Schizosaccharomyces pombe: one gene and its partners. Changing the gene in region 3 together with the main gene of any one other region gives a genetic interaction. Each region holds a gene or a part of one and is shown on either strand. Other genes may lie near its edges. The genes, in order: fnp1, zip1, ssp2 and SPOM_SPAC1705.02.

Region 1 (8,680 bases), on a different chromosome or scaffold from region 3:
ACTATTACTTCTTCTTGGAAAAAAATGGCTTTTGTTCTTGGCAAACCTGCCGTTATTGGTATTCCATGCCAATCAAGTCATTCATAAAACTCATATCCTTGACGCTACAGAAATTTTTCGCCAATTGGGTCGCCATAAACGTGACAACTTTATTAAAGTTACCTTTTATCTTATAATGTTTTTTACTTTACTTTACTGGTAAGTTTTCGCTATTCTTTGGAGCAAATGCTCTTGTTGTTTTAGCGGCACTATTTTTTATAATGTACTAACGGATAATAGTATGGTCATGTCCTTAATTCAAGAAGAATAATGTTAAAAATCTTGGAGAGGAAATTCTAAAGCCAATGCAAAAAAAAAGGATACTGTTTTCTTTCTTAATAGTTACATGATTGAATGACATTAATTATTAGACATTAGGTAATGAACTTTCGACTACTTCGTTGCAAACAGCTGATAATGAGGGAAAAGCTCATTTAGTCAAGCTTATTAGAAATTTTCTCAAGTAATCATTGGACTGTAAAAGTATTTGGAAATTTCATACTTTGAACTATTCGCCCAACGTATTCCTTGATTTCTAAATAATATATGAAGATAATATTTCTCTTATTTCTTCAAGTTCATCTTGATCAACAAATGAAACAAAGCGACGATTCAAAGATTTTGTAAGACCTTGAATGTGTGAATTAATTTGACCGTCATTCGTAGCTTCCACAAAAACAGTATCCAATGTGCGCAACCCTTCTGGAACTGTCTCTAAGCTCGGCAATCCTAAATTTTGTATGTTTACTATTTTCGATATGCTACTTGCGTTATAATTTTTTCCTTCTAGTAATCCTTGATTATCTTTGGGGCTGCGTACGACTCCAAATAAACAATTGTTTTGCTGACTGTAATCTTGAGCAACATTAACAAAGGAGGCACTACTCACTAGTGCCCATTCTTTAGACGAGTAATTTTTTGCTTTAAAGTTCAAATTATGGATAAAACCTCTTCCTTCTGATTGTAGCTTTGATTCGATATCTTTCATTCTGTAGCAGGAAGACCCGTAAACCCTTGTGGGCAATGTAAAGGACTCAATAGCCAAATTAATTTTTGCGGAGGAAGCCCAAAGGTCATCACCTTGTGATATTGTACACAAAGGGAAGTACTGAGAACAAGATCCGTTGAGCTGAGATAACGAAAGTGCTTCATTTAGTTTTCCGAAATGATTATCAATAGTTGCGGATGAATCTGACTGAATCGGCTCTCGAATCCCATAGACCCAAGTGGGAACACGACATTCTCCTAGCTCATCTTGAACTACTTTCATGTATTCGCTCGCAAATCCACCCCACGGAGTGTCTATGTCTATTGCTGCTTGAAACCCTTGGACGCTATCACATTCTTCAACAAGCGGCCTCAATCCTTCATCCCATACATTGAATTGCTTATCAAAATCATGAAACCTTTCTACACCGAGTTGAAATGAAAAGTCCGATGAATTCAGTTCCGAACAGTTTACTGGAAATAAATACTCAGTATCTAAAAATAACCGATTGAAATCTGACCAATATTTAACGCTTTTTGGACGAATAGAAGGAAGTTCATATTCTGATTCTATTGCGTTTCCCTCATGGATCTCATCTCGACTCCAAAGTGCTTCTTGGTACGGATGCACATCGACTGGAGTCTGCATAATCTGCGTGAGTTTACCATCCCATGCTGTACCTTTTCCTCCTGATGACTCATTTAACTCCTCTAACCAGTTTTTTCTAGTATTTCCAAACTCAATTGGAGTATCATATATGCACTCACGAGGAACCGTAACAATAGCTTCTGGATCACGCTTTTTCAGTACACGGAAATTGGTGTTTACATTAACCTTTGCATGATCGTTCGGATCGTATACAAAATAAGACTCTTGAGTGTTCCAAAAATGCGTCCAACAGAAGTTGCTCTTTCTTCCAAATGTAACTGTTAATATTTCATGCATCGAATATGCAAATGCCTAATAGATTGTTAAATGTATTTTGTAAAAAATGTATATACATGTATTTTCTAAATATCTAAACAATACTTGAGATAGATTTCGTAACCATAACCCTAGTTATTAGAAAATTGGTGTGAGTTAGTTATACCGTTACTAGCTTCTGTCTACCTAACCAACGCCAGTGAGAAACTGCTGCTGGGGAATGTCAAACTAACGTAAGAGTGAAGTTTCAGTACATGCTACTGTTATTTCTAAGCATCCTTTTTTAATTTTGCAATTCAAAGCTTTGTTTTCTGTGTAGAAGCATAGCATAAAGACTGAACCTGTAGAAATTAGTTACCGCGTAATGCGTTCTTAGATGCTTCATTTTTTATTTCATTCAGGATCTTCATCAAATAGAAACTCATCGCCGAAAGAATCCTATGAGCTTCTTCATGGTTTGGACAAACAATATCAAAGTACTAAGGATGTAACGTTTCGTCTTGTCCTCGTTCAAGACATCGGAGACCGAAAAAAAACTGTTTTGTTTGACTCTAATCATGTGGATGGTCAGAAAGGAGATAGTGTGCTTAGGGACTCGGCAAATGCTCCACTTACTGATCTGATGTTTGGAGCAATTCCTATCTCCCATAAAGGAACTACCACAAAGTTGCATATTCTTCATCCCCCTAATCCTGCCACAAGGTCTTATATGCTTACTCAATTATTTCAAATCAACACACATGGTACAGTAGTCAATTCTAGTCACGAAACGATTGCATCTGCTACTTCATTATTTGAAAATAGTAGTTCGAACTTTTCTGAAGACCCTAATAAACCCAACTCAAGCGATGCCTTTGAATCGAATAAAGAAGACAGTCCATTATTAAAGTCTTTTAATGATAGCGCTATCCCTGAGAATGCAGCAAATTTATCTTCTTCTTCTAAAAACATGAAAGATTCTACTTTAAGCAGTCAAAAAGCTCGTTCGAATACAAGTTCTTCCTTTTTAACACCTTTGCATGAGCAACTGGAAAGTCGCTGTGCCTTACATACAGCTGCTAAGGATCCTTTTCGATCTAAAAATTCGCTCCGGTGTAACAGGGGGCATTCCCCTCTTTCCTCCCAACAAATTTTGCCTGCAATTTCAAACAATACCTCAGAAAAGCCTGATTCCAATAATTGTGGTTTTCTTCTTCCTTCAAACTCAACATCAATAAAGGATTTAAAAAACGTAAAGAAAGGAAACAGGTTAAATAGTCCTCCGTTTATTACTATTCCTCAATCCATCAAAAACACGAATTCTAATTTTCTGCTTTCTTCACCTTCACTTTTTAGCGATACTCGCACTCGTCCAGCTTCGTATGCTTTAGCTCTTATCATTACTGTACCTTATGAATATGACGAAATTGTTCATCCTGTCAGTACTTATTATACTATGCTATCAAATTTTACGCTTTCTTTGCAGAAAGAAATAGATGAACGAATTCGCAATCTTTTGTTTGTTTCACTTAGCAGTGGGGGGGATAACAAAAATGATACAGGAATTCCATTAATTCAGTCTTCATCCTCAAAAGTAGGTTTCGGACCATATGCTCTTAGCAAAGATTTGATTACAGCTAAGAGTTTCCACAAATGCATATTGTTACTGAAAACTGGGTTTTCGGCACCATTGATTAAGCCTTCAGTATTTAGTGGCAGCAAATGGGTGGAAAACATGCGATTGTTAACCGACTTGTGTAAATCTCCAGCCCAGAAGTGCTTGTTTAGCAATTTACTAACAGCTACTCGAAAATTCTGTTTGGAACGCCAAAAAGATGATGTTACTTTTAAAGTGTTATTACAGTCTAGCAAAGCACCAATAGCTCGACGTTTTTTATATCTACTAGCTCCATTAATGCGACCGTCAATTGCGCAATGTTCCGATACGCTTCTTAATCCTATTCAATTATATCCCAACTCTGGAATACTCTCATCATCTAGTCTTTCTACTTCATTTGGTTGTCCTTCTGTCTCTGGCTCTTTACGAGTACCTTCCTATGATATGAAGATAAATGATTCTTGCAAAGCTATAGATATTCATTCAGAGAAACCATCGTTTGCTGATTCTCCTAGGAAAACGTCATTACGAAATTATTTGAGTAGCAGCTGGCGATTAAAATTTATGCGTAGTAGTTACCAAAATAATGAGACGGATCCGCTTAATCCAACTTCTGGTTCTTTTTTAAGACAACCAATGCAGTATAGTTCACCCTCGGGTGTTTCGGAAAGTGCAGCGAGTAGTTTTTTGGATATAGAAAATATCGATGAATATTTGGAAAGCGCTGAGAATATGAAATATTTACCAAGGTCAACTGTAGGACCAGGAGGTATGCTCCATGTGGATCTTTTGGAAACGAATGCTAAACAGGAATCTGAGGCAACTACTTCCACCGTTCCTCCGTCTCCTTCGCAGGTGGGATTTTTGAAAGCCTTACATCCTTCTTTTGACTTGCAAGCTGCCCCCCCGAATTCATATGTATCGTTTTCTGATGATGATTTTATTTCCGCGACATTGTTATATATGCTAGAAGACGTTTCACGCAACAAATCCCAATTGCTTGCTGAGAAAAAGCATTTAAAGTCGCAGCTCATGGTTGCTAATCTTGATACGTATTCTCTCGATTGTTACGAAATACACGAGTTTCCTAGCGAGTGGGAAAATGATTATGCGCCTTTCTTGCTTAAAGAACATCACAAAGTCATTGGCGAAACTTACGTATCATCTTTTGACATTCAACAAGGCTGCTTCAATGTTATTAAAAGGCGTTTATCATCATATAAATGGGACAAATCTGATGACTCCTTCGTAAGCGAAGTTTTGAAAGGCGATTTGAAAGAAGTTTTGAGGGTGTGTTCTCATTGCTAACTTAGTATATGTAAACAAGAATTTTACACTATTCAATATATAAGTTGTCAGTAGAAATGAAATAATCCTAGAATTTTATAAATTTTGATTTGACAAATTTCATTTTTTTTCCTGCATTTAGTGGTTCCGGTTGAACATTGCTCAGTAATAAATTATGTGATCAAAAAGTGATTGTTATAAATTATGTTTAAATATAGCATTTATTTACTAAAAGGTTGAAAAATTATCTGTTAGTTATTTACCGTTGGGCAGAAAACTCTAAAACACATGGCATGCATCCTTCATTCAAAAGAAAGAAATGAACGTTAACAAACTAAATTTTATGGTTGTTTTTTGAAATTATTCAAAATTTTCTACGTTAATGACACCAGCTTTTCTATTTCGAGGTTTCTCGTTAACCATTTAAGTATTTCCATGTTTATCATACCGTGCAGTTATCCTTTTCCAACCACCCACCAACAAATATTGTATTTGAATATTGTCTGTATCATTCGTTTAAGTGTTTTCAATATTAGTTCAAAAGAAATACAGACTTAATGATGTCTTATGAGCCAGCTGAGCCTGTCCCCGTGGAAGAACAGCCAATCTTGGAGAAATTGATAGGCATCCGTCAACGCCTAGCTGTTTTGAAACGAGATCGTACGAGATTCATTGAGAAAAATGAGGTTTTTCATCTGAAAGATGAATTAGTGGAACAGAGTATGTAATTCGCTAATATTTGTGTCAAATTATGGATGCATATGGATGAATGAATGGTCATCTGTGGGATAAATATTTGGCTCAAAATTTTGAAATTTAAACAAATTTTTGCTAACTAAGTTTCATTATAGTGAATTTATTGGACTCTAGACGATCGACGAATAGCACTCGAACTATTGTTGATTCACAGTTAGAAGATTGTTTGCACCTATTATCTTTATTTTATCTAGCGATTGGACGTAACAACGACTTGCCTGCTTTTTTCGTACAATTGGGAACTGTTAGAAGGCTTTTAGAGTATAATTTAGAAGGTGCCTGCTATACGCAGAATGACCTTAAGCCTCTCAAAGAAAGGTTGGAACGAATTAGGGCTGCAATCGTTGAGGGATCTAAAAAAGAGGATGCTTCTCCAGTTGTTGTAAAATACCTGAATAACAAACTTGCTGTTTGTGATAGAAATTATAGTGAAGCCCAACATAACATTTCAAAGATTTCACCAGAGCTTATAGGTATTCAAACTCGTTTGGTTTCTATTCATCGTCAAATTGATGGTTTTGCCGTTCGTCCTACATCTGACCCTGGATTTATTGACCGGACAATGGAACAATTGAAGGAAATTGAAGAAATGAAGGATTCTAATGGGATGTTTTGTGACGCTGACCATGTTCCCTTACAAGGTCAAGAGCTGTGTAACGGTATACTTGAAGAATGCTTTAGTTTTCTTGAGGATGCCAAAACTAAGGAAGGTTTGTCTGATGAAATGAAATCAAGTCCTAAGTTACAACAAATTTACCACCGTCTCGACGAGTTGCTTAACAAACTAAAACATCTTACACTTACTCATCGCTGGACTTTACGTGAGACTGAGTACGTTTTTCTTTAGTTTTTTTTTATCGAAGAAACCTTTTGCTAACGGATTTTAGTCTTTACGTTTATCGTGCTTCTCTAGCGGAAATTGACTCAATGCGTATTGATGGTCAATTTTTGGACGAACAAGGCAATGCGCCTGCTGGCCAAAGGGTAAGGAGTTATGCAGAAGTTATATGAAATCTCAGCTAATTGATATGTTAGATTCTTTTATATTTACTACGCCGTTGTTATGCTTACATATACCAATTACTTTCTAGCAGTGAACCAGTGTCAGAAGAGCTTATGGCCGTACATAATCAACTTCGAACTGTTAAACGCTGCTTACTTGAAGTTCAGAGAAGCGGAGGTATTTGCTCGGAAAGAGATTTGTATCCCTACCAAATGAAGTTGGCCTCATTAGAGAATCTTAGGGTGAACGGAAAGTTTTTGGCTTCCGACCATTCCGTACCCGAAGGACAAGAGCTTGTGAACTCGCTTTTGACTCAGTGTCATCAATTAATCGAGGAACTTCGCGATGAAAAGCATCAACATGATATAGAGGAACGAGAAGGATCTGAGAACACGGATGGAAACTTATAAACGACTTTTCTTTCAGACACAACTGTATTGAGTTAATGCCTATAAAAGTCATAACCTTCCGTTAACTTTTATGAAGTATTAATAAATGTGCTGGGAGTGTTTCTGTGCGCATTATAACCTTCGGTTAAACTTAAATGAGTCAGATTTGAAAATTTCATTTATAAAATTTCATCTCTTTTTTTTTTCACCACCACACCTTAAATACTAGTCAGCTTCTTAAAACTATGACAGCGATTTTTTATGAATTTTCGAAGCCTCTTATTTGAATACCGGTTTGGTGCTTTGAATTGCAAGCAATGGCTGTTTGATTTTTTTCAAAAAGGGTTGAGGCTATTGGAACTGTGATTTGTCCGAGAATTCAAGCACTGTTGTCATTGTCGGTGAATTTTGAAGCGATACGCGATATTTATTTTTTTTCATTATTATACAATAAAAGGCTTAAGATACAAACTAATTTATGTGAAGACATAAAGAATAAAAGTATTATGAATCATTTTGAAAACTGGTTTGTTTTAAACACTCGCTGCGTATACTTGAACAATACGTGACAATAAGTAGTAATTTTCATAATACGACAAACCGTATTGAGACATGGAAGACATGGAAGTTCTCATTTAGTAAGTTGTATAAATCTCATTAAGATGTTTTACAGTAATTCTGCTTTGCATTTCATTCCCTTAGCATCAGGCAGAAAACGTTTGAGGTAATCTTCCTCTGAACATTTTTCGACCAACAAATAAGCAAAGGAATTGGTCCATAGTAATTTAAGCAAGCAAAAGTGAGTATTGAAAACGAGTCACTTTGCAGATGTAAAAATAAATTCAACTAATCCATGCGCGAAGCCAAACGCAATTAAGAAGCCTAGGAATTATAAAAAAGGGATACCATCATTCTGCAATTGAGACAAATAAAAATTCATTATTTAATTATCAAGATTCGTGATTAATATGTATGTGTGTGTGTGTGTGTGTGTGTTTTTTTTTTTTTTGGGGGGGGGGGATATACACTGGCTTTACATTCAGTAAAGGCTCAATTAATTCATAATCACAACAAGTTTGAGAAATTGAAAAGAGCTACCGCAAATAAGACATGTATAACAGCAAGCTGGATTAGAATTCTAATTAGTCGAACCATTGAAATTCTTTTGATTACTGAGGTTTTGAAACCATACATTTCTCTTAAACACCAAACATATGCAACCTTAGTGTCGCACTGCTTATACTAATTTTTAAGATTCTCAGTACGATTAGGTTCAGCGCTATATATTCTTATCAAGGTATCCTAAACGATTAAAAAGCATCACCATTGTAAATGATTAAAAGGAAATAAGGATCAATTATTGTAAGTAGCGGGTCTGTTTTCCTCGATTAGTCTGTGAAGACATTCGCTACAGAAAAAGAATGCACGTTAACAAAAGCACATGAGTTAAGTTCCTGTTATACAAATTTGAGAATATTGAAGCCAACTAGACTTTCCGCTACTGGATTTGCAACTTCAACTTTGCCGATTGTGAAAAAATAGTGACGAGCAGCGGACATCTAAAGCGTCGCCTGTCCCGCAATGCGTAGATGAAATCCAGTAGATGCGAGTAAAATAGAAAAGATGGTGACATCGTTACTTCAAGATACTGTGAAATAGCGTAAGGGTGTTGAAGGAAGACTTCATTCGGTTGCTTC
Region 2 (7,306 bases), on a different chromosome or scaffold from region 3:
GAGTTTCTCAATTGTTTGAGCTCAGATGGCACTCTCAATGAAAGTAGTATTTATAAAACTTATCAAATTCTTGAATCGTTAAACCCAAAAGATGTTGATACTAAAGAAAACTACATAAAATTATCAAACACGTTTTCTACGCTAGGCTCTGGAGTGGGCTTTCAAGACAATTTATTGATTGAAATGTTTAAAATATTAACTGTTTTGTTTTTTAAGACTAGATCTACTGATTTGGGCGATTTGTTAATTGAAAGTTTTACTTCCCTAGAGATTGAGAAATTAATGAGGGTGAAAAAAACAATAGGATCGATTGTGCTTACTAAAGGAATACAAGAATTGCAAGAAATTGAACTGCCGAAAGTCGGTTTTAATTGCATGACCTACGATGAATCTATTTTTCAGGGGATTTCCTTAGAGAGATTGATTCTCCAATTGATGTCAATTTTCATTGCAAAATGTGAAGAAAATAAGTTATGGCTTGTTAATAACAGAAAAGATTTAGATCTTCGAGTAATTGGTCAACGCTTGCTTCACAGGGATTTCGCATGTCGCTTCTTAAGCGGTCTATTTATTTCTCGCTTCTCTGTTTCTGGAGATACTGATGAGAGTAAACATCAAAATGGCATTCGCCTTCAACTATTTATTGATTTTTCTAAATTTGAAACTCGTTTGACTATGCAAATTTTGAAGGCGGACCGCATTTTTTCCACCTGTGTTGCCAATACTGTCCATGCTTATGAAGGTTTATTTTCGTCGGGCTCAAATATTGATTCAACAATAGCTACTCTGGTTTTAGAGCCCCGAGATTTAATCGTTTATAGAAAAGGATTTGCTCTGTTACAAATTCCTTGGACATCTGTCACGACTATCGATAAGATTAAAAAAGTCAAATCTCTAAAAATTATTACTGAAGTATCTTCCCTAGATGAATTTGTTTTCCAATGTAAGGATGGCGATAAATTTGACGAGCTTTTTTCGACTTCTGAAGAAATCATGAACAAACTGTTACCAGCTATAATTGTTTCTCCTAAATTGACATTAAGGAACCGTTCAATAATTCAAATAAAAGAAGGAGAATCAAAGCTTCCTAACACTTCCAAGCAAGCATCCCAGAATTTACCGCATTTAGATGATGAACTGGCGTACCAAAGATTTGAGGATCAGGTCATTGACAAGAGTGTGTGCGACGATGAGTGCACTAACACTGAAAATACTCCAAGTTCAAACATTCCTGCAGATGTGAAAGATTCTTTATCAGCCGATGACTATGCTTATGATACAAAACGCAAGACGCAAATTGAGGATCTCGAAGAAGACCAGAATAAGAGTAAGATAGCTAGCAAAGACGGAACCAATCTAAAAGAAATCAATTCTGTTCCTGAATTTTCTGATGAGAATGTAATCAATCAAACGGGGCCCGCCAAAAAGACACCGGTTCAAAGAAGAAAAGATGGAAAGTTTGCAAAATCGACAAAAAGAAAAAAACAAAAATCTTTAAAACCTGATACTGAAAATCAAGAATCTTCGGTGAAAAATAAAAAGGCGAAATCCAATGTTAATTTGCAATACAGTCCGAAAACCCCCATTTGCAAAATTAACGACGAAACCTTGAAGCCTCCTACGATAGCAAACATTGCAGGTCACAAACAAATGAACCATTTAACTTCGGAGAATATTGAGACTCCAGTTCCTGTACCGAATGGAAATTGGTATAATGGTGTAAAGCATGAAACAGCTACAGATATCTTTACTACTTGCCATGATGGAAATAATAGTCTTAAAAGCTCCGTATGGAAAGAACTTCTTAAAGAGAAACATTGGAAACAGGAATCTAAGCCTCAACTTACTGGAAATAGTCGTCAAATTGATCTCTCTACCTTTGTTAAACAAGCAAATACTCCAAATATTACCAGTCTACTAGATGGTACCTGCTCAAGCCCGCCTAATAATGAATGTTTTAATGACAAGGAGCCAGACTCAAGTAGCAGTACGCTGATATCAGATCGCCAGGAACTTGAGTACAGGAATCCCAATGCGGAAACTGTCAAGCTCGAGGAAATACCCTACAACAAATTTTTTAAGACAGTTGAGAAGAACGAAGCATACAATCCATCTAGCAAATCTGCTACTATTGATGGTTTACAACGTTATACTTCTATGATAGGAAATCAAATATACGAGGGCATTTTACAGAACGAGAAGGAATTGAGGTCAAAGCTTGAGGCTTACCACATAAATTGTAACAAAGTGATTAAGGAATTTTCGAAAAGACAAACTGCTAGATATAAGATCATCGAAAAGGAATTGGCGCAAATTGAAGTTAATCTGGTCAGCCAAATTGACAGTTTGATGTTTAAGTAGCTTGAACCTATAGTATCAAATTTATTGATATTGGCTTATATTGACATATTACTTTAAAACAATTCACATTGGAAGCGTTATATTTTATTTACGTAAAGCAAGAAACACGAGAAAAATAGGTATATTATCAAATTCATTACCTAGTAAACGTAAAACTGATGAACTTGAACGTAGCAGTTGGATGCATACGCAGAAAAAAAGAAAATTAAAAGATTTGCTCCAAAAGAAAACATAAGTTTACCTGTAAAGAAAACCTTTATATGTTAAATAAATGATTATCGAAGAAATAAACATATCAATGCAGAAGACAGGGGTATAAAATAACAGGGAAAGAAAACCACTTTTAAAAGTTAGAAGTAGGACGTATAAGTCCCTTCAACCAGTTATTCTCCATCTCCAGTTCACGAACACGAGTTTCTAAAATGGCGACTTTCTCAGTCAACTCTTTAGCAGTGCGTTCCAACTGTTGTTCTTTAAGCTTCTTCTTGATGCGAAAACGAGCGCTAGCAGCGGTATTTCGACGACGTTTATCTTCCTCAGCAGCAGTACGGATGGCAGAAGTAGCTTTGGTGCGTTTACTGTTAGCATTGGGAGACTGAGCACCCTTATAAGAAGAAAGACTAGGGGAAGATACAGATGCTAAATCAGGACTGGCAAAAGTGGAAAGGGGATTGGTAAATGCGTTTTGATCAGCAAATGAAGAAACGGGAGCTTGTAAAGGGGTATTGTTAATAGAGCTGCTAGCTTCAGAAGTCGGGATAGCAGTCTGTCCAACCAAAACTTGATGTTGTCTTGCAGATTGATCAGGTAGTAACTTGGAGGAAGCTGAACCTTGGAGAATTGAGGAAGAAGAAACATTATCCTTGGAGGCTGAAGCAACAGAAGACTTTTGCTCAAAGAGCTCTCGTTGAGACGAAGTTTTTTCTTGAGTTTCCTTTGAATGATCAGGTAGGGTTAGGAGTTTCTGCAAGTCGAGATAAGCAAGATCAATTGAAGCAGGATTAGCAGAAGAAAAATTTCCAGTTGCATTCAAAGGGGCAGAAAAGGTATTGCTAACTTCTTCCTCTTTAACTTGCTGCAAAGTCGAAATTTTTTCGGGATTCTGTTGCTGCACGTTCTTTTCCTGCTTATTGGAATTGGAAGAACCTGAAGGTTGAGAAACAAATCCATAATAGCCTTCTGAAAGCATACTAGAAGGCTCTAAATCTAAAAAGTATGGATTTGTGAATACATTTAATTGCTCTGCGAGATCATCCTTTGAAAAATCGTCAGAGACAGGAACATCATCGAACTTAAGATTCAAGTGATTGATAGCGCTATTAGGAGTAAAATCCATTTGTCAAAAGCTTTATCTTGAGACTCTTGGTCTCTTAAAATTAACTGAAAATCAATTGTTAGCATGGAATTTCGCTAAAAAACTGAACTCTCCAACAATAAGCTTACCTAAGACTTAACGGCAAAATTATCGTTACTAATCAAATTATATCTCACAAAGGTAAAAAAAACACACTCAACCGTTCGCAATAAACGAGCTAAACCACCAAATTTAGTGACTCGATGAATGGCGACGCTACGTTGGTAATCGTAGAAAATTTGATGACTGAGCCAGCACGTCTGCGATCGGGATCATGCAGCGTTGAGATAATAATGAGATTACAATCTCCGCGTTAAAAATCTGATGTAGTGTAGCTGTACGTAGATCCTCATAAAACTATCCTATATTAAGATAGTGCACCGTTAATTATTATAGAAGTTGTTACCGTAGTAGTTTAAACCTGCTAGAAAAACGTTATTATATAAGTCACTAACAAATTGCTATTTAGGAAAAAAATCCTAAAGAAATCAGTCGTATGCTATTAATGAGAGTTAAAAAGCAGTCTTAAGTTCTTGCTTTTTGTGTAAATGATCGGAAGTTTTATCTTATATTGAAAATTCTAAAGCCATTAGAATATTCGCTCATTTTATATATCAATGGCCCAGTTGTAATAGTCAGTCGAATAGTTAATTGAATAAACTACTTTAGATCTACATGCGCAATAAGTTTTAAGTTTGGGGTTTTTACTGAACATTTTTCATCCCCAACAACGGTTCATATATTGAAACAATAGTGCGTCAGACAATTCGCAATTTTTTTTTTCTAAAAACAGTATATTCTCTACTTTTCAGTCAGTTAATATATTCCGGAACAAAGTCATATTCTTCTTAAAACTTATTCATACTAGTGCTGCTTGTGTAAAAAAAGAATCAAATACAAAACATGTTACTTGACAGATCCTCTATAATAGAATATGGAAACGAAATAGAAATGAGAATGATTGAAGTTCAAGCTTAAAGTCAGTAATAGATTTGCTTTTTGCATAAGAAAAAAATCAGTGGAAAACGCTTTGAAATCCTTAAAGCATTTTTTGTATTTGCGTAAGACATTGTCTGCTATATGCTTTCAGAGGAGTTTTAGAAATCCAATAGCAGAAATTCATCATTAATGTTAAAGGTAGCTGAATACAAATTAAACAGCGTTAAAATCAAAATCCGATAAACCTTCACGTTCATTCCGTGGTTACATTTGTAGTTCATTTTTGTCAACCATCGCCGTTCTATATACTTGCTAACTATAGTACAATGTGTGCCATCAAAACTTTGAAAATTTAATCCTAATAGTTTAAAACAAATGTTACAGTTTAAGTATTTCAATGTCCAAGACTTCAAATATGGAGTTTTACCTAACTTGCATAGAAACTCGGTATTATAATAAAAGACAATGACGGATTCGGGGTATTAAATGAAGACTTCAGCTGTATAAAAGCTTTTCTGTTATATATCTTAAATTTTGTGGATTCCAAATTAGCTTTCAAATACAAACTGTGCCATTTTACACAACCTCGATCATTCATAAAACAATAATAAACTTGCTCACTTACAAACAAGTCTTAAGAATTGATTTAAGTCAATGTCTGATTGCAAACATATTAACAATCTGTGATAAATTTCTTTTGCCATGTATTTCTAACTTTAGGTTGATGAGTTCAAACCTCCTATGAATCGACGTATATCGTTGTTGATATTTCACATAAACTTGGACTCGCCAATCTTTGTTCATATTTTAATGCTTATTTATTCAGATAATTCCCAGGTGACTAGCAGTTTGAACTAAGCAAGACGTTGTCAACGACTTCAAACATCGCAAGCTTATGGAATAAAAGAAAAAAAATTACATGTTTCTACTCGTAAGTGAAATAAAAATTCCCGGACTCCCATTTACCAATCCTTCGTTTTTTGTATTACCATATACTATCTTTCACGTTTGCATCTAGCATCTAAAACTGTTCACTTCTAAAAACAATTCATTTTAAGAGAAATAATCATTTTTTCTTATTTGAATAAACTCAATTCTTACTGCCTCGTTTCCTTGTTTTTGCAAAAAAAAAAAACATAATCATTGCTATAGGTTTACAACTTCATATCCGTTTCTTTATGTCAATTTATTCTTTTTTACAGAATGGCTACTGTGAAACTTAGTTTTTTACAGCACATCTGTAAGTTAACTGGATTGTCAAGAAGTGGAAGAAAGGATGAGTTGCTTCGAAGAATTGTTGACTCTCCTATTTATCCCACCTCTCGGGTACTTGGTATTGACTTGGGAATCAAAAATTTCTCTTACTGCTTTGCAAGTCAAAATGAAGATTCTAAAGTTATTATCCACAATTGGTCTGTTGAAAATCTAACTGAAAAAAATGGGCTTGATATACAATGGACCGAAGACTTCCAGCCTAGCTCCATGGCTGATCTTTCAATACAACTGTTTAATACATTACACGAAAAATTCAATCCGCATGTCATTCTTATGGAACGCCAGCGTTATCGTTCCGGTATTGCTACGATTCCAGAGTGGACGCTACGAGTAAATATGCTTGAAAGCATGCTGTATGCGTTACACTACGCAGAAAAAAGAAATTCAATCGAACAGAAAATACAATATCCTTTCCTTCTTTCTCTGTCCCCAAAATCTACATACTCGTATTGGGCATCAGTTTTGAATACGAAAGCATCTTTTTCAAAGAAGAAGAGTAGAGTACAAATGGTCAAGGAATTAATAGATGGTCAAAAAATCCTATTTGAAAATGAAGAAGCTCTGTATAAATGGAACAACGGTTCTAGGGTTGAATTTAAAAAGGACGATATGGCAGATTCTGCTTTGATTGCAAGCGGTTGGATGAGATGGCAAGCCCAACTGAAGCATTATAGAAACTTTTGCAAACAGTTTCTGAAACAATAGAAATGAACGATTGCCGTACGAATGTTTAGCCAATTTGTATATTGTAGTTTTATTCAAAGAAAAACTATCGTATATTGCATTTCATGATCCTATAAAAAAGGAAGAAATTAAACTAAATTCATAAAATTAATAATGATAACAAAAGGAATGCAGGCACATGTATCAAAGATCTTCTTTGAGCATTATTCTAAACTTCAACGATGAAAAATAACAAAACATAAAGAACATGAAATGAATTTTTTAAAAAAAATAAGAATGATGACAAACAAAAAAAGGTAATAAGGCCTTAAAAATAGCAACCCGACCTTGCTCATTTCAAAAACCCAAGTTTATATCCTCTATATTTCATGCATACAAAAGCACCAATAACAGCACCGAAAAATGAAATTTTTTATAATAAATTTGTATGAAACGGCTTTGAAGACGTAAAGAAAAAAGTAGAACTTGCAGTGAAGCCACAAAAGTCATAAGAGGACCATGATAGCGTCTGAGATCCTTTAAAAAAAACATAAAAAAACGCAACTCGTGATTGTTTAGTTCCCCAACAGAGTAAACCCTGGATAACACGCATTTACACAAGATTTAATCCCTAAAGTAAAGAAAGACGAGAAAAAATTAGTAGTATAAACACGTGGAAAACACACACACCTTTTGGAAATTGGTACATGATAG
Region 3 (8,257 bases):
AATCCTTGTCCTTTTCCTTCTCCCGTCCTTTCAAGCCAGCCATGATAGAGGAAAGAGGAGTAGAAGGGTTGGTTTGCTGTTTTGTCAAAGGCGCTTTTGTTGAAGAGGAGGCCGAAGTTGGTTTTGTAGAGCTTGCTAAATTTTTAAAGAAGGATGTTCCCGATATGCTGGTTACCTTTTTTTTAGATTTCGAATTGCTTGATTTAGTAGTTGAGGAAGCGCTTGGTTTATTAGACGCAGACGGGGCCATCGCCGGACCAGCCGGGGCCATAACGACTGCGGAAGATGAAACAGTCGAATCGTTCTTCGTAGAGCTCTTCTCATTTTCTCTATTTTGTTCAATAGTAAAACTTTTCTCGGCCAGTTCAGAAAGATTTTCAGCAAGCTGGCGTATAACGGAATTGGTAGACTTTTTTTTTACGATTAAAATTGGTTTGCCAAACTTAACCTCAGCTAGCTTCTCAGTCGTAAGAGGAAGATTAGCTAGCACGAGCAGTATTAAATGAATGAGTTCGTCGTGTTTAGAACGAATAGCTGATACAAACCAGTTACGTAGTTTAGGAAGGAACAATTTACGACCGCCGTCAACAAGTTGGCTATAAATACTATTCCCCACTTTGCTTTTAAGAAGATCTAGAAAAACTAATTTTTGATCATCTTGGGTGATATTGCTCATGAGATTAACAAGGATTGCAGCACATTCTTTTGGAGCTTGGACGATGTTAATTGGGTTTAAACACTCAGTCAGAGTAAGGCGCAAATCTTCTAACGGATCAGAGGAAGAAATTTTTTGACGAGATTTAGATTTTAATCGTGCAAGCATTTGAACGTTCACGTCTGATTTTGATGATGGTACTTCATGGGAGGCGGTATTTAAACTAAGGCGCTTCGTTAGTCATAAATAAATTTTTAAGGCAAAATAAACTTACGAAGATCCTGAATCCGGATTCCTTGAAGTATGACTTGGATTATTAACATATGGATTGGCTGAGATAGAGGTATGATTAGTATTTTGTGATTGAGAGTCATTGGAAGGAGAAATGCCAGGAGAACTTGGTTCCTTATTAGAGGACAAGGATTGTGATGGGGAGCCAGTTTGCGAAGATCCAGAAGATATGAGTGATGGATTGGATGAGGCAACTAAGATAAATATTAGCAAATTGAACGAATCAAAAAAGAAAAAGAAAAATTGAGAACATAGGAAAACTCAGTATAGTAGAGATAAAAATAAAAAGAATGAATAAACAAAAGAAAATATACCTGAAGGCATTGTAGCTAACAATGAAGCATCTTTATGTGACAGAGGTGACTGGGAGTGTTGAAACACATGAGGTTCTAAGCCTAAGGGCAACAATTAGTAGAATTCTAAGAGAAAGGATCAAAAATAGCAGAGAAAAAAGAGAGAACAAGCAATCAAGACATCACTCGCTACAGCCCGTAGAGGCAAATATTTCAAATTATTGACCAACTCTCTATCCCCGCTTTAATAGCCTGCATACCAGGGAAAGCACTCATTAACTTTTCATCTAAGTTTTCTTCTAAATCAGGACTCAGATTAATAAATTCCGGTTTTCCACTATACTCATTGGAAGTATGTGGAGGATTTTCTGACGTTTTACTTGTTTGTCTATCACTCGACACATTTCGCACGGAATTCCAATTATCCATTAATTAAATATCAAAGAGGTTCAAAGTAATACTCCGAATAAATTGAACCTTTCAGAAATTCGCACTGTGCCGATTTAATCGTTTCCTGAGGATATACGCTGAGAAAGGATCAACGTCGACTACTATTCAAGTAAGGAAACTGAACATGCAACTTTGTGAAATTCGTTGGAGTTCTCTAAACCCTTCGCTACACCATCGTGTATATTAATAGTTAAAACTAAATAAAAAAATATAATTTTAGTAGATTTTTAATTTTTTAATTATATTGACAATAATAGAAGACTTAAGAAGCATTTTTGGCGTGTGGGACTTGGTATGCCAAATGGCTTTCCAGCTGTAAACAAAATGATTCACCGTTTTTAGATCGGATCAATCTTTTCACGAATTCCGTTAGAAAAAATTAAGAATAAAAGGATATTATACTCTTATTTTTTTCTTCATTCTCTTGTGATTTTGAACCCATCTCTTTTTCCTCATACATTAACCGGTCTTCATATTAACGTCTGTTATTAGATAGTAAACATAATTTATACATTGTTTTTTTTTTTTGAGAGTAAGCTGTGCACCAGTTCTATGAACGGAGTATTTTTATTTATTTTTTGCAGAATGGAACAAATTAATCTATATACTAACTGTGGAATGTATGAATCCTTTAGACAAAATGAATGAAAATACCTTCTACAAATTTTGAGGAATATATAGTAGGATTTTCAAATAATTTAAATATTGAGACATACAAAAATTAAGAATACCAATCATTTGTTCTCGTTTCATAATTCACATTTTGTGTCTATAACTTTCTTTATTAGCTTTTTTCTTTATCACACTAAAGTTGACATTTCTATTGACATTCTTTATGAAAAGAAATTTGCAAAATTTGATGTACAGATGTTTTAACAATTTTTTTTTTAAAAAAAAAAGGGGGGGGGGGGAATTGCTTTCTTCATAAAGTTCAACTAATTACAAACAAGCTAGCATAGTATTTTAAATAGAATTGGTTTGTATTTGAATTAAAGTAAAGATAAAGGAAAATAATACTCTTTATGGACTAGTTCCTCGATGTCGCAGCTGCAAGTCGTTCTTAAATTGCAAAAAAAAATTGCATATTAACTAGTCTTTGATTTGATTCTCGTTTACATTAACATAAACGTATAAATTTTTTTTTTCTTAACGGTTTTCTTTATTATTAAAAGAAAGGTGAGCATATATAATCAACATCGTCATGCATATAGATAAATGGGAAATTTCAGTTATCAGAGAAAACCCGCATGAAAAGTAAAAGGACTCAATAAACTCCTAACATTCAGTCATTCGATTATTTCATATCAACAAATGTATTATGGTTATAACAAGATAAATACTTAACGAGTGAAACCAAAATCTTCTGTAAACCGTTGATAATACAATGGCACTAAATTCATCAATTCATAAATGTTTCAACAGAAAATGGCGGTAATTAATCCGGACACTAGTATCTTCATGCAACCTTATTCGCTAAAAGAAAAGGTAAAAAAAATAAAATGTGTCTTTGCTATTGAGTAGATTTGTTCAACAATGGGTAATTAAGGGATGCTTGAAAACAGCGTGTTAAATGGGGAGTTACAATAAATCATGCAGAAAATAACTTGCACACCAGCATAGCACACAAATCTAAAAATGGGAAAGATGACTTAAGATCATCCATGCCATGATCAGCTGTTCGTTCAGGATGAGAATAAATATCTTTGTAACCATTAGATTTCACATCTAGCATAAAACACCCGGGCATAACTTCATAAAGTTGTAACTCAATATAAGCATAAGTATTTTTTCCTTCCCTTTTACAATGAGGAATTTCCCAACGACTTTTAATGGTATACATGTCTGATCGATATTTTCCATTTACTGGTTTTGGAACGGTAAACTGAGCTCCTGCACGTTGTAAAGCTCGATACACAGCCAACAAAATTTCAGGTGCATCGCCCCGGCAGCGAACACCAAAATGCCATTTGTTACGGCGACTCTTTTTGCGAGTGGATTGGCTCGTATCCACAGCACTAGCAGCATCGGCAAGAGTCCTCATTTCAAGTTTATTTTTTTCTGCCGTAGGCACAAGGACACATATGTTACTGTCAATTGTTTGTTTAGCATATGTTGGAGGGTCGGAGACTGTCCAACGCGGTCCTTCTAAAGTAGGATCGATAAGCTCCTGTTTTGACTTCTTTTGCAATTCAGAAGTATATTCTGAAAATGCGGGTGGAGATACAGATAGAAAAGAATCGACTCGTTTTGATTTGGAGAGATGACTCTTTTCTTGGATTACTTGATTTTCATGTAGCAAGTTATAAGCCTCTTTTACTTCATTATTTTCATCTGAACGTAAAGCTTCGACAATGTAATCCTCCGAGAACCCCATTGCCTCACCAAGCTTGCTGACAATTCGTGAATCAGCATAAGAGCCTTGGACCTCCTCCATAGGACGTAAATAATCGGGTAAATTAACGTTGAACCAAGGGTCCCGACGTATTTCCTGAATTGTTATCCTCTGCATTGGATCTGCAACAATCATTCGGCGAATTAAAGATTGTGCTCCGGGAGAAAGAAAATCAGGCATAACATAAACACAACCTAAATACGTTTAGCAAGAGATAAGTAGAAAAAAAAGTGGCCAAACATACTGTTAACTTTTTTAAACAAATTGGGGATAAATTCATCGTCGAAAGGAAGACGACCCACCAACATCACATAGAGAACAATGCCGCAACTCCAAACATCGACTTCTGGACCAGCATACAATTTCCCGTTGATAACTTCCGGGGCTGCATAATTTGGACTGCCACAGGACGTTTTTAGGAAATTACCGTCTGTCATAATATTTGATAAACCGAAATCAGCAATCTTTACGTTGAGATTGTCATCCAACAACAAATTTTCGGGTTTAAGATCGCGATGTACAATTTTGTGACGGTGACAGTACTCAATTGCACATATAATTTGTTGAAAAAAACGACGACCCTCATCTTCAGTCATCTTTAAAAACAGTCAGCAAATACATAAATTCGTGCATTCAAATTTGTAAACAAGCCTTCATCAGCAACATTTCAGATGCAAAAACAATTTATCTTTTTCTATTTTTAAAAAAGACAATCGGATAACTTGTACATTTTGACAAATCAAACCAATCCAACATCACTTCTGAAATTTACTGTAACAAAAACTCGCAAACCGCACCACTTACCCTTTTCTTTTCTACAATATAATCAAACAATTCACCACCTGCATATTCAATTACCATAACGATATCTGTGGGCGTGGTTATCACATCATACAATTTAATAATATGAGGATGTCGCAAAAGCTTCAAGTATGAAATTTCACGCTCCACACGCATATGCATATCGCTTTTCTTTAGCAATTGACGGGAGATAAACTTGAGAGCAACTTTCTGTTGCGTTTTGTAATGAGTAGCGACTACAAGTACGTTAGTCTCTATTCTCATGATATTAAATATTAGCAATCTTACGCTTGACTTTGCCAAAAGAACCTTCACCAAGGGTTTCCCTTATAATATAAGGGCCGATATGGCGCTTGGATATGGCTTCTGGTGGTAAAACTCTTGCTCCATTTCGCATGGTTGAGTTCTCCATTAAATCAACCTCCTGCGGTTGCATTATCAGCTATTCGCTTGGCAAATCCAATATTGAAAGTTTATTGATAAAATCTTTTTTTCCTTAATAGCAAGGCTTAAATTTCAGAGTGTGAGATAAATATATAATTTGGTAGAAGGCAAAGCCATAGTATACATCCTTAGTTGTGTCACATGAGATGATATGAATTGGACTCGTTAATTCGTTTAAAATAACACTATACAGTTTTTTAAGCCACCGTTTTACTAGTTAACGAAGTTGCGTCACAATGCGGAATTTTACTCAATGAATTAAAATTCTACTACACTATTCATTTTAATGCAAACTGCAAACTCTTATTTAACTAACCCAGTTAACTGTTCCAATAAAATACTTATACATGTTACAGTGTTCGCATTTCAATCTTGGCTGTATAAGTAATAACATGATCCAAGTATGATTAAGCAGTTTATTATGTTTGTAAAGAACCCATCCCAGATATAATGGAACACACGGCGTACCCCACAGTCTTCATAAGATGGTTGTTAAGTGCAGCGTTGTGTATCGCATTATAACGCTCTTGTCAAATCTTCGTTGAGTTTGTAAACAATTAAGTACTGGTTGAGTTAATACAAAAAAAAGGAAATGAACAAGCTTTTTATTAGAAAAGAGTCTTCATATTGGATGTGATTTCTCAGCAACATTTAAACAGTGATCATGAATATAACGAGCCTGAACTGATTTCATTTGTTTACAAGGCACACAGACTAATTATCACTGTTTCTTGCATGAAAGTCTTTGCTTTGACGAAAAAATTTAATATTCTAAGAAAAGCTATCAATCAAAATCCAAATAAAAATTTTTTTAGAAAGCAGGGAAGTGTTTTCGAAGTCAACAACTTGTATGATAATATAAGAATGCAATAAAAATACAGCGCAATTTACCCTGAACGAATTTTATAGCTTGTTTGGGGTAAATCACAATCACAGGAATGCTTTTTTATTTGGACATCCTCGTAAACAAGTTTCGTGTAAAAAGCATCTTTGTAATTCAAATAGTAAAGTTAGCATGTGATTGGACTTTATTTACAAAATTCATTTCACACGATGAATAGAGGTTTCTTCATTCACATGCTGTCTGGCATCACGATCTATAGGTGTTAAGCAAACACATTTAAAGTGATACTTTTTTATATAATAGAATATGCCACCATAAGTTAGTTCGCAAATTTTTAGCTTTAGGTCAAACTACGCAATTAAAACTTTGCGCTACGTGTAGTAGTACGGTAAATTTCGTTGTGGTTTATTAATTATAGTATACAGATATCATGAGTAGCAATTAATTTTATGTATTGATATATGGGTTAAATCGTTACCCATCACTAAACTAGCTTATAAGTGAATGTCGTTCCTGAGTTCAATTTGGCTCTATTTATATTTCATCCTAATTTATTAAACCACAAACATTCTAGATGAACAGTTATCCGCGATTATCAGTATTTAAACGGGTCTTAAAACTATATTAACATAAGGAAACATGCTGATACACAACGTAATGTATTTTAACGCAGGGTAGTATTGCTGACACTAATTTGCAATGACTTTCTTGTTAACTCGCGTTTTAGTAAATAAAAACATTAATTTCGTTTAATTTGAAATTAAAGCAAAAAGACATTATATGTTTTCCTAAAATCATTAATGATGTAGACATATCAATGCCTTGCCAACTCGCGAATTAACATGTTTATCGTATTGTTGTCAGCAAACGGGATAAGAGTTTTGCCTCATATTGCTTGGCAAACAGTAAGTCTACTTTCTTTTTGAATTTAATTCATGAACGAGTTAAAAATTTTGACACAAATTCTTGTTTCTGCAGTACAATGATTTGCTTGTCGCACACATTCACAGTCATTGTATAACTATCCTCGTGTAAACATCGCAGATCTCTACATTGCAAACGTCCTCTATTTCAGTATAGTATAACTCTATCTAATCCTTTGTTCATTTCAAAATGCCAAGTTTGAGGTATGGATTAGGGAGATACTCTTTCATGTTGCTTGTTCAAAGAGAAAAATATTAAAAATCGAGGAAATTCAGAAGAACAAGAAAAGTGTGTAGTATTGGGAAGCGTTTGAGATTTATAAAGGTCCTCTAAAATAAAAAAGAACGACTTTAGGATTGACATATGAATTTTTCCGAAAAACTAAAGCACATTGGAAGATGAATATATTCTGATAATTAATTAATTGCGTAAAGGATGTCAATGTAAAATGCTAAGGCAGAGAGCTGGGTTCAGTCGTCGATTTTAAGCCTCGAGAATCGCCAGCTAATTGAAGAAAGAAGAGGTAAGTAAATAAAACTTGGGAGGCAAAAACGCAGTTGACAAGAATTTAAAAAAAAAAGTGAAGATGAAGATGAAGATGAACAATATTTTACTTACTATCCAAACAATTTAATATGACAATAGCATACAACAAATTACAATGTCATGCTAGGTTTCCCTAATTTTTTTGGTATTCTGACTTTCAACTTTTCTGATATGATTGTTGATTTCCCGACTTGTTTACGCATCTCGTTTCTCCAGGTTTTTGTATCGACGTCCTTCATCATATGTTAACTCTATCGGGGATTAGAAAAAAAGGCGCAAAATTAAACAATCAAAGATTGCCGCCATGCAATGATTTCAAATCCAATCTACCCACATCCGCTATCTAAGGTATTTACCGAGAAAGAACTCGACAAGACGGTTATATTATAGAGAAATGAAAAGAAGGTTGATATTAGAGGAAAGAGGATTGTATTGCGAATAGAAATGATGTTTGGCTCATTCTATATGAAACTTTGTCAATTTACTTCTTCTTGTTTTATTTAAGTTGAAACGATTTACTTTTCTTTTTATTCGTTATTAGTTGTTTTTTATTTGATTTTGTTTTGGATAGCTGTAGTCATATGTATGCTTTTTTTTCGGTTTCATTATTCTTTTCA
Region 4 (6,043 bases), on a different chromosome or scaffold from region 3:
GCTCCTCGTTGGTGTTGTGGCCTAGCAACCAGCAATACACAATTACTCATTGTTTACAGTAAACATTGCAACGAAATTGCGCACCTCGTTGTCCCCCTTTTTATCTAACAAGTCACAATTCTTTGCATTTTCCGGGTATATATAGATGTCTTTTCCGCAACTCGCTTCATCCTCAGCGAACTACATTTGAGTTTTAAACACTCTTTTACTTCTTTATTCATTACCCACGCATTCATTTATAAAACATATCATATATATTACCCGTAATATATAGCATATACCTTTTATAAATACCCGCTATTCTGCATATCTTTTGTGGTCAATCTCTGTCTTTTTGATTATTACTACGTTTCCCCTTATAAACGCATTTTACATATTTGTCCTCTTTCTCTTTTGATTTAACAAATTTACCTTCATATTCCCTTTTTGCATCCTAAAAACTATCTTTCGTTATATTTTTCCAATCATATTTCTACATTATATAGTCTAAAGTCAATATGTTGTTCAAATCATTCGCTCTCACTCTTCTTTTCGCCGCAGCTCGCGTACAAGCTGCTTCCAACTGCTCCAGCGGCCCTTACAATATCTCCGCCCAAGGTACTCTTGACGAGCTTAACAGCTGTACTGTATTGAATGGTGATTTGTACATTTCTGATGCTGGTAACTCTGGCATCACCACCCTTACTGTTAATGGAATTGAGTCCGTTCAAGGTGATGTTGTGGTTTCTGATGGTCAATATTTGACCTCTCTTTCCTTCCCTTCTTTGAAAAACGTTTCTGGTGCTTTTAACGTTAACAACATGATCCGCATGAACAACCTTGCTACCCCTGAGCTCACTTCGGTTGGAAGCCTAAATCTTGCTGTTTTACCAAACTTACAGGAGCTTCAATTTAACGCTGGTCTTTCCGATTCTGATAGTGTCGTAATTGATGACACTCAACTTCAAGCTATTGACGGTATCAGTTTGGATTCCGTCACTACTTTCCAAGTAACCAACAATCGTTATATTCAGGAGATCACCATGGAGGGCCTCGAAAGTGCTCAAAATATCCAGATTTCCGCTAACTCTAAGGGTGTAAGCGTAAACTTCAGTAAACTTTCTAACGTTACCACTGCTACTTTTGATGGTATCAGCAACGTCTTTATTGGTAACTTGAAGAGTGCTGCTGGTAACTTGTATTTCTCTAACACTACTCTGGATAACATTTCGGTTCCTTACCTTACCGAAATCGGACAAAGTTTTGCTGTTTTGTACTCTCCTGAGCTTACTTCCCTCAACTTCCCTAACCTTACCACTGTTGGTGGTGGTTTCGTTATTAACGATACTGGTTTGACTTCTATTGATGGTTTCCCCGTCATCTCTGAAATTGGTGGTGGTTTAGTTCTTCTCGGTAACTTCTCAAGCATTGATATGCCTGATTTGAGTGATGTGAAGGGTGCTCTCACTGTCGAGACTAAGGCTACCAATTTCACTTGCCCTTGGTCCAATGATGACAGTGTTATTAAGGGTGATGATTTCACTTGCCAAGGTAGTGTTGCTACCATTTCTGCTACTAGTTCTTATGATTTGTCTTCCACTGTCTCTGCTACTAGTGGATCTGCCACATCTGCCACTGGTTCTGCTACCACCACTTCATACTCTTCTGATTCTTCTGCATCTTCCTCTTCCTCTTCCTCCCATGAAAGCTCAGCCGCTTCTAACGGCTTCACTGCTGGTGCTTTAGTTTTGGGATCTCTTTTGGTTGCTGCTCTTGCTATGTAAGTGTCGTCATGAACAATTTGTTACTTTTTTTATCGAAAGTATAGAAAATTAATATTTGAATGTTACCGATACTTATTTGGCGAGATGAGCTGGCTTATCTCTGGTGATGTGGGTTACTGAAATGTTTATTAATACAGGCCGTTTTATTTTCTTCTTTATAATCGGGTGTGATTAAACATATATCTTTAGAAGAGATTAACTTCTATATGATCTTAGAAAAGTGTTGAGAAGGTTTGATGTTCCTTTTCTTTAATTTGAGCTTTAAATTATTTATATGAGTTGCTCTTAGGCTATTTTCAAAGTTATTGATTTTGCCTTTTTTATAATTAGTCTATCGAATATTTGCATTTAGTATATCTTGAATTTGATTTTTTTAATTTTTAATACAAGGCGCGCGGTAGTTAGTAATAAAATAATTTGATTGGCAAAGATGAGACATAAGGCGTATGATATGCATAACCGAGAGTTAAGAAATTACGAGTAAATGATTAAGTAACTTAATGGGATGTTATTATAGATTGCAAGACTACCGAGTTTATTTACTCTTTACTTAGAAATATAGATTTTATTGTTTTTATCAAAATAGAGGTAAAATTGAAGAAAAATAACAGAATAAAGAGCCAATGTACTGTGGAAAAACACCACTTAAAAGGATGGAATAAACTGCCCTTTAACAAAATTTCGAATATAGTTATTTTTTTCCTTTTGAGCCACCGTTGGCTTCCGCTGCCTTGCGCTCATCAGCTGCACGTTGTTTAGCACGCATAATTTCAGCTTGACTTAAAATATTAGCTAATTGGTTTTTAAACAAAATCCTGATTCCATTCCACTTACGCTTCAAGACGTTTGGTAGGATCTCCGGCTTGTTTCTTTTTAGAAGCTTGAGACTTCTTTAAATTGCGAGCACGGTCAACATCACGCTGATTTCCACCTAGTAACATTAGTAATTACAAATTATAGATATAGTTTTAATTTTAATGAATATCAGAATGTGAAAAAGGCTAAAAGAATACTAAAAATCAATAAGCAAGTATAAAAGAGATAGTTCAACGCAGCTATTCCCTGCTGAGAGGGGGATAATAATTTTTAGAATTTCTTCTTCATTCTCAAAGGTTTAAAACTTACGAGACATCTTAGCAAAAATTGTATCATCAATCAAACTGCAACTCACACTTCTTATGAGGTAAAAAAGAAAAACGGGCAATTTATGGTGGTGACCATAGCTTAACGAAATATAGCATATATCGTTAATGTGAAATATTTGTCAGCAATACTACACTACGCTATAATACACTACGTTGAGTATCACTATATGTCACATGTTCTAATTATATATCGTACCATGTATGATACGATATGGAGATTGATCTTAATGATAATCTATTAAGATCAATATTATCTGAATACTATAAATAGAGCTACTGCTGAACCTCGTTCCTCAGTTCAGTTATGAGCTATATTAGTGATAGGTAACATTATAACCCAGTTAATACAATACCTATACTCAGTTGCTACTTATACAACCTGTGTATTGTAATATAATAGATCACAAGGAAAACTCACCGCAGTTCTACGTATCCTTAAATCAGATACCAAACTGCGTAGCTTACAATAACTGAACTCTTGTGATCTACAATTAACTCCTTTTAGGAAAAAGGAATTATTGAATAAATATATATCATAAATATATATATTTCTCTCCTTCTGGGTTCAAAGGAGAAAGAACTTTGGAAGGACTGTTATCCCTTTTGAAATCTCCCAAAGGGAAACATATACAATGTCCTACGCAAATTATCGTTATATGAAAGCAAGAGCAAAACGATGGAGACCAGAGAATTTGGATGGAATTCAAACATCAGACGAACATTTAATAAACCTTTTTGCAAAAATATTATCGAAGCATGTACCAGAGATAGGGAAATTCGATCCTAATAAGGATGTTGAAAGTTACATTTCAAAACTTGATCAACACTTTACTGAATACCCTTCATTATTCCCAAATGAGCATACTAAAAGACAGTATACATTGAATCACCTAGAAGAATTAGAGCAACAATTCGCTGAACGCATGTTTTCTGAGAATGGAAGTCTTACATGGCAAGAATTACTCAGACAAACAGGGAAAGTACAAGGATCCAACAAAGGTGATCGTTTAACTAAAACATTTGAAGGTTTTAGAAATCAATTGGACAAAGTTCAATTTATAAGGAAACTCATGTCAAAAGCAAATGTTGATGATTTCCATACTCGCTTGTTTATATTATGGATGCTGCCATATTCCTTAAGGAAATTAAAGGAAAGAAATTACTGGAAATCAGAAATCAGTGAAATTTATGACTTTTTAGAGGACAAAAGAACAGCCTCGTATGGTAAAACTCACAAGCGTTTTCAACTGCAAAATAAAAATCTAGGAAAAGAGTCCCTTTCAAAGAAAAATAACACCACTAATAGCAGAAACCTGAGGAAGACAAATGTTTCGAGAATAGAATACTCATCTAACAAATTCCTAAATCATACTAGGAAACGTTACGAAATGGTATTACAAGCTGAACTTCCAGACTTCAAGTGCTCAATACCCTGTCTAATCGATACGGGCGCTCAAGCAAATATTATAACAGAAGAAACTGTTCGAGCACATAAACTGCCTACCAGACCCTGGTCAAAAAGTGTGATATATGGTGGAGTTTATCCAAATAAGATTAATCGCAAAACAATAAAACTTAACATAAGTCTAAATGGAATATCAATCAAAACAGAATTCTTGGTTGTAAAGAAATTTTCGCATCCAGCTGCTATCTCCTTCACAACATTATATGACAATAACATTGAAATATCTAGCAGTAAACACACGCTCTCTCAAATGAACAAAGTTTCAAATATTGTCAAGGAACCTGAGTTACCAGATATCTATAAAGAATTCAAAGACATTACTGCAGAAACCAATACGGAAAAGCTACCAAAGCCAATAAAAGGGTTAGAATTTGAAGTTGAACTAACTCAAGAAAACTACAGATTACCTATCAGAAATTACCCGCTACCACCGGGAAAAATGCAAGCTATGAATGATGAAATTAATCAAGGATTAAAAAGTGGAATTATACGAGAATCTAAAGCCATTAACGCCTGTCCAGTAATGTTCGTTCCGAAAAAGGAAGGCACCTTGAGAATGGTGGTTGACTACAAACCTTTAAATAAGTATGTCAAACCCAATATATATCCGTTACCACTTATTGAACAATTACTTGCTAAAATACAAGGTTCTACAATTTTTACTAAACTTGACCTCAAAAGTGCCTATCACTTGATACGAGTAAGAAAAGGAGATGAACATAAACTTGCTTTTCGCTGTCCTCGTGGAGTTTTTGAATATCTAGTAATGCCTTATGGCATATCTACAGCTCCAGCACATTTTCAATACTTTATCAATACAATACTTGGTGAAGCCAAAGAATCACATGTAGTATGTTATATGGATGATATTTTAATTCATTCAAAATCGGAATCTGAACATGTAAAACATGTTAAAGACGTTCTACAGAAATTGAAAAATGCGAACTTAATTATCAATCAAGCAAAATGTGAATTTCACCAATCACAAGTAAAATTTATAGGGTATCACATTTCGGAAAAAGGATTTACGCCTTGTCAAGAAAATATAGACAAAGTCTTACAATGGAAGCAACCTAAGAATCGTAAAGAATTACGACAATTTCTAGGTTCTGTCAATTATCTTAGGAAATTCATTCCAAAGACATCACAATTAACACATCCACTCAATAATCTTTTGAAAAAGGATGTACGCTGGAAATGGACACCAACACAAACCCAAGCGATAGAAAACATTAAACAATGTTTAGTTTCTCCTCCGGTGCTACGACACTTTGATTTCAGTAAAAAGATTCTACTGGAAACTGATGCTTCAGATGTCGCTGTAGGAGCCGTATTGTCTCAAAAACATGATGATGATAAATACTATCCTGTTGGATACTATTCAGCAAAGATGTCTAAAGCACAATTAAATTATAGCGTATCGGACAAAGAAATGCTTGCAATCATTAAGTCTCTCAAACATTGGAGACACTATTTAGAATCCACTATCGAACCTTTCAAAATTTTAACAGACCATCGAAACTTAATTGGTCGCATTACTAACGAATCCGAGCCTGAAAACAAACGTTTAGCTCGTTGGCAATTATTTTTACAAGACTTCAACTTTGAAATTAACTACAGACCTGGATCAGCAAATCACATAGCTGATGCCTTATCCAGAATTGTTGACG

Evidence for each region.
Region 1: mutations in ssp2 (region 3) and fnp1 together harm fitness less than expected from each alone (positive genetic interaction), as found in Schizosaccharomyces pombe (one large-scale study listed by BioGRID).
Region 2: mutations in ssp2 (region 3) and zip1 together harm fitness less than expected from each alone (positive genetic interaction), as found in Schizosaccharomyces pombe (one large-scale study listed by BioGRID).
Region 4: mutations in ssp2 (region 3) and SPOM_SPAC1705.02 together harm fitness less than expected from each alone (positive genetic interaction), as found in Schizosaccharomyces pombe (one large-scale study listed by BioGRID).

What each region holds. Positions count from the first base shown.
Region 1 is NC_003424.3:4,640,168-4,648,847, forward strand, and holds fnp1 (folliculin complex subunit fnp1), read left to right. Parts: upstream 1-2,139; 5' UTR 2,140-2,327; coding exon 2,328-4,856; 3' UTR 4,857-5,010; downstream 5,011-8,680. Other genes in the region: cornichon family protein Erv14, read left to right, coding at 1-198, 280-310; GTPase dml1, read right to left, coding at 575-1,972; SPOM_SPAC30C2.08 (uncharacterized protein), read left to right, coding at 5,393-5,555, 5,687-6,422, 6,479-6,575, 6,627-7,004.
Region 2 is NC_003424.3:4,296,457-4,303,762, reverse strand, and holds zip1 (DNA-binding transcription factor Zip1), read right to left. Parts: upstream 3,949-7,306; 5' UTR 3,805-3,948; exon of another isoform or gene 3,742-3,804; 5' UTR 3,698-3,741; coding exon 2,705-3,697; 3' UTR 2,362-2,704; downstream 1-2,361. Other genes in the region: meiotic recombination protein Rec10, read left to right, coding at 1-2,361; cruciform cutting endonuclease Cce1, read left to right, coding at 5,858-6,634.
Region 3 is NC_003421.2:1,926,540-1,934,796, forward strand, and holds ssp2 (serine/threonine protein kinase AMPK catalytic (alpha) subunit Ssp2), read right to left. Parts: upstream 5,436-8,257; 5' UTR 5,319-5,435; coding exon 5,171-5,318; intron 5,119-5,170; coding exon 4,886-5,118; intron 4,678-4,885; coding exon 4,326-4,677; intron 4,276-4,325; coding exon 3,278-4,275; 3' UTR 2,651-3,277; downstream 1-2,650. Other genes in the region: ppn1 (cleavage and polyadenylation specificity factor complex-associated protein), read right to left, coding at 1-878, 930-1,140, 1,261-1,341, 1,500-1,668. UniProt on the Schizosaccharomyces pombe protein: Serine/threonine protein kinase essential for release from glucose repression via the phosphorylation of scr1 upon glucose deprivation.
Region 4 is NC_003424.3:1,565,715-1,571,757, reverse strand, and holds SPOM_SPAC1705.02 (uncharacterized protein), read right to left. Parts: upstream 2,944-6,043; 5' UTR 2,896-2,943; coding exon 2,889-2,895; intron 2,695-2,888; coding exon 2,598-2,694; intron 2,543-2,597; coding exon 2,455-2,542; 3' UTR 2,309-2,454; downstream 1-2,308. Other genes in the region: extracellular leucine-rich repeat domain, receptor L domain-like Ecm33, read left to right, coding at 498-1,763; Tf2-2 (retrotransposable element/transposon Tf2-type), read left to right, coding at 3,541-6,043.